3 linked regions of the Saccharomyces cerevisiae S288C genome follow. The gene in region 2 interacts genetically with the main gene of each other region. Each region holds a gene or a part of one and is shown on either strand. Other genes may lie near its edges. The genes, in order: CHS5, TPM1 and YPT31.

The links.
Region 1: mutations in TPM1 (region 2) and CHS5 together harm fitness more than expected from each alone (negative genetic interaction), as found in Saccharomyces cerevisiae (5 studies listed by BioGRID, with this or other methods).
Region 3: mutations in TPM1 (region 2) and YPT31 together harm fitness more than expected from each alone (negative genetic interaction), as found in Saccharomyces cerevisiae (5 studies listed by BioGRID).

What each region holds. Positions count from the first base shown.
Region 1 is NC_001144.5:786,164-789,763, reverse strand, and holds CHS5 (Chs5p), read right to left. Parts: upstream 2,101-3,600; coding exon 85-2,100; downstream 1-84. Other genes in the region: REC102 (Rec102p), read right to left, coding at 2,431-3,051, 3,149-3,322. UniProt on the Saccharomyces cerevisiae protein: Component of the CHS5/6 complex which mediates export of specific cargo proteins, including chitin synthase CHS3. Also involved in targeting FUS1 to sites of polarized growth.
Region 2 is NC_001146.8:477,948-481,287, reverse strand, and holds TPM1 (tropomyosin TPM1), read left to right. Parts: upstream 1-2,122; coding exon 2,123-2,722; downstream 2,723-3,340. Other genes in the region: NIS1 (Nis1p), read right to left, coding at 297-1,520; EOS1 (Eos1p), read left to right, coding at 3,256-3,340.
Region 3 is NC_001137.3:213,576-216,856, forward strand, and holds YPT31 (Rab family GTPase YPT31), read right to left. Parts: upstream 1,173-3,281; coding exon 501-1,172; downstream 1-500. Other genes in the region: CHZ1 (Chz1p), read left to right, coding at 1-323; FIR1 (Fir1p), read left to right, coding at 1,488-3,281.

The sequences.
Region 1 (3,600 bases), on a different chromosome or scaffold from region 2:
ATAAAAAATAGATTATATTTGCTGAGGGATTCTCAGTCGAAAAAATAAACGTGCGTCGTGGAACTCATTGAAGGCATCCATTAATCATTTCTTTTTCCCTTTCTTCTTATTCTTCTTATTCTTCTTCTTATTACTGTTGCTGTTGCCAGTATTTTTTTTAGCTTCTTTAGTGGACAAAACGTCATCTGTATTTACTTCGGCTTCCGTTGTCTCTTGTTCTTCCGTGACGGCACTGCTTTCAAGAGAAGCAGAGGCCTCAGTTTTTTGGTGGGTAGTACTCTCACCAGAGGCAGCCTCCTTGGAAACGTTGTTGATATCGTCTTCTGCCTCTGAACCTTTTTCTTCTGGTTTTACATCTTCATTGGATGGCTCGACTGCAACACTTTCGGTAGCATCTTTAGGTTCGGCTTCAAGTTCTATATCTTCTTCTTGATGTCTTGGAGAGGCAATGTCGGTAGTAAACTCGTTGGTTTCTTGTACGGGTTCACCGGCATCCTCCACAGGTTCACTGGTATCTTCCACAGGTTCATTGGCATCCTCCACAGGTTTGTTGGAATCCTCCACAGGTTTGTTGGAATCCTCCACAGGTTTGTTGGAATCCTCCACAGGTTTGTTGGAATCCTTCACAGGTTTGTTGGAATCCTCCACAGGTTCATTGGAATCCTCCGCAGGTTCATTGGCATCTTCTATAGACTCATTTACTTCTGGAGTTTCAATTTCAGCTTCTGGACGTCCAAATTCCATTGCTGCATCATCTGCAGGTTCGTTATTTTCCCCTGCACTTTCTGTGGTTATGTTGTTTTCAGCTACTTCTTCAGTCTGTACAAATCCATTATCAGCTTGTTCGTTAGAATGTGTATCGGTATCCTCACTTTTCTGTCCCGTTGCTTCTTCATTTGGAGAACTTTCAGCCACAGCTTCATTCGGTTCTTCTACCACGGCTTCTGCGGAAGAGTCCGCTTTGTTTTCCTCTATATTGGGAGTACCAACAGGTTCGCTTTTCAAACTTCTTACGGAGGGGTTGACGGTTTCGATGGTGGTTTCATTCTCCAAAGCCGTCGAAGCATGCAATGGATCTTCTACAGGACTTACTGGGGCAGTTTCATGTCCACTCTTTTCTCCTTGTTCCTTAGCTTCTGAAGGATTACTCTCATTGTCATTAGGTGATGCAACCTGTTCGACATCTGTTGTGTCCTCGGGCATCTTATTTTCATCCGCTACTTCGGCTACCGGCTCATTCTCCTTTGAGTACGAAAGTTCTTCCTCATTAACTGGTGGGAATGTGTAGTTTTTCAGTATACTTTGATCTGCATCTAAGTAAAATCCTCTAACACCAACGATTCTTTTCTCAACCTCACAAGCTCTCACCCATTCCGGTCTGACAATTGGTATGTTGTTATGTTTTGCCCTTATAAGCTCTTCATTGCTTTCTTCATTGTCTAGATCGTTACAGACAAAATGCGTAGTATCTATCGCAACATGACGTTGTAAAGGTCTCGCCCCGATGTGAGACAAACATTGGGATATCTGTAAGTCTGAAATTTCTTTCAATGGATCCAATGGACCCAAACATACAGTGATACCAGACATGTCAGTCATCTTATGTGTACGCAATATAACCTTTTCAGACCATAATGTTCCTGACGTGGTTATCAGTTTCAATTGAAATTCGTATGGCGTATCAACGGAAAGACCGGATATTTTCGTGGTAGTCACTTTGAATGGATTTGGAATTACCATTGAACGTATTCCCTTCCTATAAAGGATCAGTGATTTCAATTTTGCTGAGCCAAGTTTCAATGGATCCCATGCTAGAACACAGCTCGTTTGCGTAACGTTAACAATTTTCAAAACTGGGCTCTCCGGTTTATGGGTACCATACTTCTCCAAAATTTTGGCTTGTATACTCTTAAAATGATTCCTTTGTTTTTTTTCCTCCTCTAAATTTTGTGAAACTTGCATTTTTATGATAGATCCAGCTTTAACATTTTCTGGTAATAATACTGTAGGAAACTCAATAACATGATGATCCTGAGTAGTCAGTAACGCCAATGAGGCATCCAACTTACCTACTGTTAACAGTACATCAACTGAAGACATTATTCGCTACTCGACCAGGTTCTAAAACGGAAACGTAACATGCAAGCTAAACCGCGATAACATTTAGCATCTACGCAATAAATAATGAGGCTTTAGAAAGGAGAACTTGAAGGGCCGACCGAACTTGTTAAAAAAGAAGTGCAGCTACATAATTTCCGTCTTAAGTGACATCTTTTTAGTGGTCGACTCGAGGCTACTGGAAGCAATAAGATAAGGATATGGCAATAGCTTATAAACGGTATCATATGAACATAAAGCGCATTGCATAACTATTGTTAACTAAAATTTTAATTGCCCAAAAGTATTTGATTAAATTATATTTTATGCATGCTACTTATTGTACGTTACAGCCGGTAAGGAAAAAATTTGAAAATTCTGAATTGGAGGACCTCTTCTTCGACACAGAATTTGATACGCGGTTGTTGAAGATTTGTCTTGGGCAATCATGTTAAGCATTATTGGAAGAAGTACTGAATTGCTCGTTAGGGCGTAGGATATCGGAGCGAGCGAACTTTGTTGCCACTTCAATCGGAGCCTTGAAATCATGGAGAAGACCATCGGGTATTCAAATTCCAATTGAGACACTATTAAAGAGGAAAAATATTCATTAAAATGAGGAATAACCTGGCTTATTTCGACATAGTTTCCCTCTTTAGAAAAAAAATTGACAGTTGTTGATAACTCGGAAAGGTAATAGATTTCAGGATATCCTTTGGCATGCGTATGAAGCTCTCTGGGTTTGCTTATGAACGTACTTATCTGAGCATCCGTTAAAATTGTACATTTTAAACTGAGAATGACGTGGTTTTCTATGGTGCTTACATCTTGAACTTGATAAAACAGTTGTTCCTCCCAAAAGCGAATACTTGAACCTACAATCTCGCGCAATTTTGTAAACAACTCTTGCTCTTCCGTAACTAATCGATCGTTCATTTTAAAATTCAGTTTAATCTTCACTTTTCCTGGTACGAGTGACAAAGCTACCAGTTATTATAGTTAGTAACGCTTCATTCACGGATGGGTTTTAATTTTGCTAGGAGAAACATACTTTCAACATTCCAGGTGGTAGCAGTGGAATATATAATGAATTAGAGTCGGTTGATTCCGGTCCCTCAATGCGTACGGTTGAAGTCCAAGCAGATAACAATTTTCCTGCCTCATCATTATTTACAGCGCCACAACTTTCTAAAAATACGGTCAAAAATGTGATATCTCTTGCCATTAGATTAAATTTTGAAATGTTGGAATCCAATGGTGAACTAACGTGCTGTTGCGCTTATTTCTTACTGTTTGTTTTCCTTCCATTTTTTATATTTGGTATAACCGCTGAAGGTTATAGAAATTAGCTCTTTAAGAGAAAAAGGCGAAAAAATTAGTGTAAAAGTGAATTATACTACAGAAAAAAAAACTATACTAAAACACAGATAGGTAAGTCATATGTCACATTTCTACTCGCTTGTACCCTCCAATTAATTCCTGTAGGGGAAAATTGGAAATTGT
Region 2 (3,340 bases):
GAGGTTGGTTTATTACCGATATAAACTGTTTGATGAATGTTGAATACTATTATAATCTATTCCTATCAGTATATAAAAGCGTTCAAACGATTTCACATACTTGTGGGAACGAAGAACGCGTCATTACCTTTTTAGTCTACAGATTCGATGCTCCAGTCATTTTTTTCCTTTATTTTCCGTAATGTTCTAGAAGAAATCGAGCGGGGGAAAAAGATACATAGAAGGATAATGTGATTAAATAAAGTTTGATGTCTAAGGCTATGCAATGGCTATGCAATCCAGGGGGGGTTACCTACTTAAAAGGGGTCGCTACTAAGTATACTATCGTCTTGACTGTCGGGTATAATTATAGGATTGCTTTTGGTCTCACCTGCCATCTGGAAGAGACTTGAAGGAGTAGATAAAAGGGACATGTCTAAGTCGCTGGCGTTAGAAGAGCAGACAGAGCTTTCATTCGATGCTGAACCCGGAGAGCAAAGCAAAGTCAGGCGCAGTTGCGTCCTCTGTGTTATAACCAGCATTAAGTATTCTCTCCACAGTTCCAACAGCAGTTGCTCCTTTCTTGCATGCGATTTGGTGTTCAATTTTCCTCTTCTTTTTGGGTGGTACAACACACTAGGGGAAGTATTGGACCGCCCCACATTCTTGTTATAAACAGATCTTGTGGTTGGGGTCGTTGAATTCTGTTTAATTGTTTTCGTCGCCGTCGCAGGCATAGTCGTCGGGAGACTACCTGGTTGTGATTTGGGTAGTTTCCTACTTATGGAGCGGTTCCTTAGATACGGTGGACGACTACTGGTTGCATACATCTGGCTTCTTAAAAATGGGATAGGAGTTACCGCAGGGTCCCTGCTAGTGAGATTTCTGATAGCGTGTAAGTTTACCGGTTGCGAAGCCAGGACATTTGCAATATCCATTTGTTCCAGTTCTATATAGTTCAAAACGGATGTCAGCTCCTTCTTGCTCCTGAATCTTGACCGTACCTTTGCTTGCCTGTCTTCCCTGCGTATGGAGTGTTGCCTCTTCAAAAACCCTTTGTGAAAAATGAAATTATGATTCTTGCTGAACTTGGAGAGTTCATTTTTGCTGGTAAAGTCTGTTCTTCGTTGTGAAGTGTGTCGAATTGGCTTTGCGTTTATGGTAGGAGAGCGAGACCTCATCTTATAATTCGACCATTGCGTAAACTGTTCCATCACTTCAGTGCTTTCAACCTGGTCCGCTTTGCTTATGTTACGGTTCCTCAAGTGCGAAGCATCGTGGTACTCCATATATGGTTTGAAGCTGTCGTGTGTTATATGAGAGTCATCCGATATTTGCACTATAGGAATCTTGGTATCTGAATTTGAATTTGTGTTCGAATTTGTGTTCGAATTTGTGTTCGAGTTCGAGTTCGAGTTCGATGTAGAATCCACAAGCGCATGTATATAACCTGAAGTGGTAAACCCACCGGTACCCAGGGGAGGTGGGAACAAAGTCGGGGGATAAGACTGAGTCCCAATGCTAGTCTCGTATGTCTCCATTGTCTGTATGGTTGTATTTCAAGACGTATCTGCAAGAAAACTGATGTTTGCGAGTTAGGAACAGGGAAAAATACATGAATTAAGAAATACGAACGATCTTAACTATTTTCAACAGTACCTGAAACATGGATGTAAAAACGTAGAAGATACCCGAATAAAGTGGGGCGCACACCGGACTTGAAACCACTCCTCCTTTACCAAGCACTAATTTAAGCTAATCTAATTTAACGCAGTACATTTTGTATGCGCGGCAGCAGCTTAATACATTGCTGTCATTCACTAATGGAAAAAAAAAAAAAAAAAAAAAATCAAAATATAAAAATAAATATTAAGAACTTAAAAAGACAAACCAGCCATCGCGTGGCGCTAGCACATATATCTTACCCGACGGAGAGCCGGGTAAAGAAGTCGGGTAACCATTAAAATAAAAAATCAGCACACCATAGCACGATCTACGAGAAACGGAAAAGTGTTAGAGATCACATACTGCATACTTGGCAAGAAGAAGGTTCGTTTTTCCCTTCTGATACTGTAAAAGATTAGGTTGGTAGAAGAAATCTACATAGTAGAACTCACACCCCATACACACAAAAAAGGCAACAATGGACAAAATCAGAGAAAAGCTAAGCAACTTGAAGTTGGAAGCCGAATCATGGCAGGAGAAGTACGAGGAGTTGAAAGAGAAGAACAAGGACTTGGAGCAAGAGAACGTCGAAAAGGAGAATCAGATCAAGTCTTTAACCGTCAAAAACCAGCAATTGGAGGATGAGATCGAGAAGCTGGAAGCGGGACTTTCTGACTCTAAGCAAACAGAACAGGATAACGTTGAAAAAGAAAATCAGATCAAGTCCTTGACGGTGAAGAACCACCAATTGGAGGAAGAGATCGAGAAGTTGGAAGCAGAATTGGCTGAATCCAAGCAATTGTCCGAGGACTCTCACCACTTGCAGTCCAACAACGACAATTTCTCCAAGAAGAACCAGCAATTGGAAGAAGACTTGGAGGAAAGCGACACCAAGCTAAAGGAAACCACTGAGAAATTGAGAGAGTCCGACTTGAAGGCAGATCAATTGGAAAGAAGAGTAGCTGCCTTGGAAGAACAAAGAGAAGAATGGGAAAGAAAGAACGAGGAATTGACCGTCAAGTACGAAGACGCAAAGAAGGAACTGGACGAAATTGCTGCATCTCTGGAAAACTTGTGATCTACTTTTGTTTTTTGTTTTCTTTTTCTTTTCCCCAACACGCTGGTCTTTGTTCCTTGTTCTTGAGCAAATCAAACGCTCATGGGCAAACGAAACTAAAATAAGAACCATTTATACAAATACAATAGCTTAGACTATACATCTGTATACTTTTCCCTTGAAGATGTTTTTGTTCTTTACCGTTTGCGTGCTGATTTATGATGTTTTTACATTGGGCGTTATTACCCGAGCGGCGTTTTGTTCGTGGGACTCACACTTGTGCCTGCTCCCATGTTAAGTTTTGCACGGTTTATCACATGGACAAAGGCATTCTCATATTACACAGCTACATGTGATATATATCGGGCGTTTCCACGTGTACAAGAACCTGAAAAGTTTATCGGAAGACTAAGTTTTGGGTTGCCCACCGTCTGTGCATCTACGTGAACACACCAGGGTTTCTCATTTCTTTTTTCTTTAAGTTTTTTTTCTCTTCCCTTCCCTTCCTTTGGTCAAATAATCTTATTTGATTCTTCAGGGTTTTAAAAAACCAGATGACGTGGATACTAAGTACTGGTATGGGCCCTCATGAGGACAAGTATGCCAAGCATGAGCGAGCGACCTTTAAAAAGACGTACA
Region 3 (3,281 bases), on a different chromosome or scaffold from region 2:
AAGAGGAGACTAAGGCTAAAAATGGTTTGACGAAGAGCGAAAATAATGGTACTGTTGAAGATTCTGAATCTGATATGGACGATGCCAAGTTAGACGCATTGATGGGAAATGAGGGAGAAGAAGAAGAGGACGATTTGGCAGAAATTGATACCTCTAATATCATCACATCCGGAAGAAGAACACGCGGCAAAGTAATTGACTATAAAAAGACTGCAGAAGAATTAGACAAGAAGGAACCTAGCACAGGCTCTAAAGATGATGTAGGATATGGTGAAAAAGAAGAAGACGATGAAGACGAAGAAGACGATGATTTTAAAGAGTAGTAAGCAAAATGTCGTACATACCGGCCTCTACTTGTGTATTCTGTTTACTTCAATTTCCTATATGCGTTCTATATGTATATAAACTATATGTCAGCAGAAAATTGTAAAAATATAGCACAGAATTAAAGGGGAGAAGAGTCATTCACATGCAAGTGCGCAACTGCTGCAAAATATCTCTTAACAACAGTTATTTCCATTTGCCTTTTTGTTTTCGTTTGGTGTTGGTGTCAGACTAATCGTTGGTCCATTAGGAGCGGACGCACCATTGGCATTCCCGTTGGCACTGGAGTCACCAAGGTCCATTTGATGCTTGCTGACCTTTTGATAGATGGTATTGATTAACTCTTCAAAAGCCTTATCCACGTTTTCACTGTTCAAAGCACTTGTTTCTGTGAATAATAACTGATTTTCCTGTGCAAAAGTCTTGGACTCCTCCGTAGGTACAGCACGTAAATGGGCCAAATCAGACTTGTTACCGATAAGCCCCACTGCGACGTTGTCATCTGCATTTTCTCTTAATTCTGATAACCAATGATTACAATTTTCATATGAGCTTGATTTACTGATATCGTAAACGATCAAGGCACCTACAGCTCCTCTATAATAAGCAGAAGTAATGGCTCTGTAACGTTCCTGGCCCGCAGTATCCCAAATCTGCGCCTTGATCCTCTTGCCATCAATTTCCAAAGTTCTGGTGGCAAACTCAACCCCAATTGTAGACTTTGAATCCATATTGAATTCGTTCTTCGTAAATCTTGACAATAGATTGGATTTCCCTACCCCGGAATCACCGATCAGTACAATTTTAAATAGTAGGTCGTAATCATACCCGTAGTCCTCGCTGCTCATTGTTGAAATCCCCAGACGCCGTCAGAATCCCTTTGCTGGCCTAAACAAAGTGCCTTGTAATAAAGGTCAAATTGTTATTCGTTTCTTTCTTGAAAAGTTTTGAGTTTCCCTCTTTCTCTAATTTAGCACCCGCACACCGCAGCGGCCTGTGATATTCCGCATTGGAAAATGGTAAACAAACAACAAACGAGCCCAAACATAACAACAGTAGAATTGACGCCTAGGAACAACAATACAACATACTTACAGCAAGACTACTACCTAATTAGTGCAATTAGATTGCGCTGGGATAGATCTGAAGCTTTTTTTCCGATTATGAGCCTCCCTGTTACACCTGTCAAGAGCAAAGTGTGCAGTACATTATCGATACAACATGAGATGGACCATGATCAATGCCGTGATGTGTTGTGCCCACGCGAAAACTTACTAGCCATTAATAGAACTAATAATATAGAGAGTGTTGCTATACCGCGACAGAGATCGAGCAAGAACAAGAAACCCCATGAGCATACACAATCGCAGGTTCGATTTTCCATTCCAGATCCAAATGAAATATCACAGGACTCCCCACTGAAAATTGTATTCCCCAAGAGTGGAAATGAAACCGAAAGAAGAATGTCTACTTCATCATTACTTATGAATAGCCATGGTCATTTAGTCGACATGCACTCTAAAATACTGGTCGATGTCCCTAAAGAAGTTTGGAAGTTTCATCATAACAGGAGAAAAAAATGTGAAAGCAGGCACCGTAAAACTCGTTCTGATGTTAGGTCCAACACAAGTAGTAGTGGAAAAGAACCAAACCATTCTAGATCAAAATCATTACAGTCGATCATTGTGGATACAATGAACACATATCGTGCAACCGAGGTTGAGACCAGTATTAATGAGAATACTAGTAATATTAGCCAAGTATCTCCGCTGAATTTATCATTTGACAGGCCTCCTCCCTTAACTCCCGAAAAGAATTTATATCTCACTCCTGAATCGCCATTGAACAGATATCATTTACCAGTTCCATTAGAAATATCTCTGCCGCCCTACTTATCTCCGCAAAACAAGGATAAAAAGAGGAGTAGCTTGGTTTACGATGGGGATGGCTATAGCCAGTTTCAAGAAGGTAACACCTCATCGTCAACTGAATCTTCTCTAGAACAGCCCTCATCGTCGTATTCAGATGAAGATGATTCTATTCCATATGCCCACCATGATGTGTCTTTCGAGTTAAATAATGCAGATGCTGATAAGCTTCTTGGAATTGATGAGAACGCCAACGTCAATCTGAAGATACAAAGGAGAAATCTCAAAAACCCACAACATATTAAGAGTAAAACAGATAGGGAATGTGAGGAAAAAAACACTGAAAAAAATGTTTCGTTAAAAATTCTGTCAACACCAAATAAACTGATAGACATCCCCGACTTAGAGCACATGAAATCCCCACCAAGCACAGGTTTAAATGGGACATTAAAATTTTTCCAGCAGTTTGAACCTAGCGAGGAGCCAACTTCTCCAACTCGCCAAGTTAACCCTGAATCACTGGACAAACTCGATATGTCATTCAAATTTCCCTCCAGTACTACTAACAATAATGTGGATAAGGTACATGAAAATAGAAACTCTGGAGACACGAACAATGAAGATTTCCTGAAAGTTGATACTTCGCCTGTGAATCAATCATTTGAATCCAGAAGACAGATGTTAATAGACTTGCAAAAATCTCCGACGAATAATAATCCGAGGATACATAAACATAGGAGAAGCAGGAGCGTTCATAATATTGATGACATTTCCTTAAATTTCGAGGCAACCTCCACACCACCAGCTCCGACCTCTGCTCCCTCAATTCCTGTTGAACATTCTAACCCATGTACTTCCATTGAAATACCTAAGAGATCACCCTTACGGTTCACGTCATCTCCAAAAACATCTGATATTCCTCCTGAAGCTCAATCACCTAAAAATGGGTCCTTCCTCCAAGAAATCTCGGTACCTTCGATTCAAATTATACCAGATGAAAGTATCTCTCATACAAGAGAACCATCACCATCACTTATTGAATGCCCAGAGGATGAAAACGAAGCTTTTTCTACTGAAGTTGCTGACCAT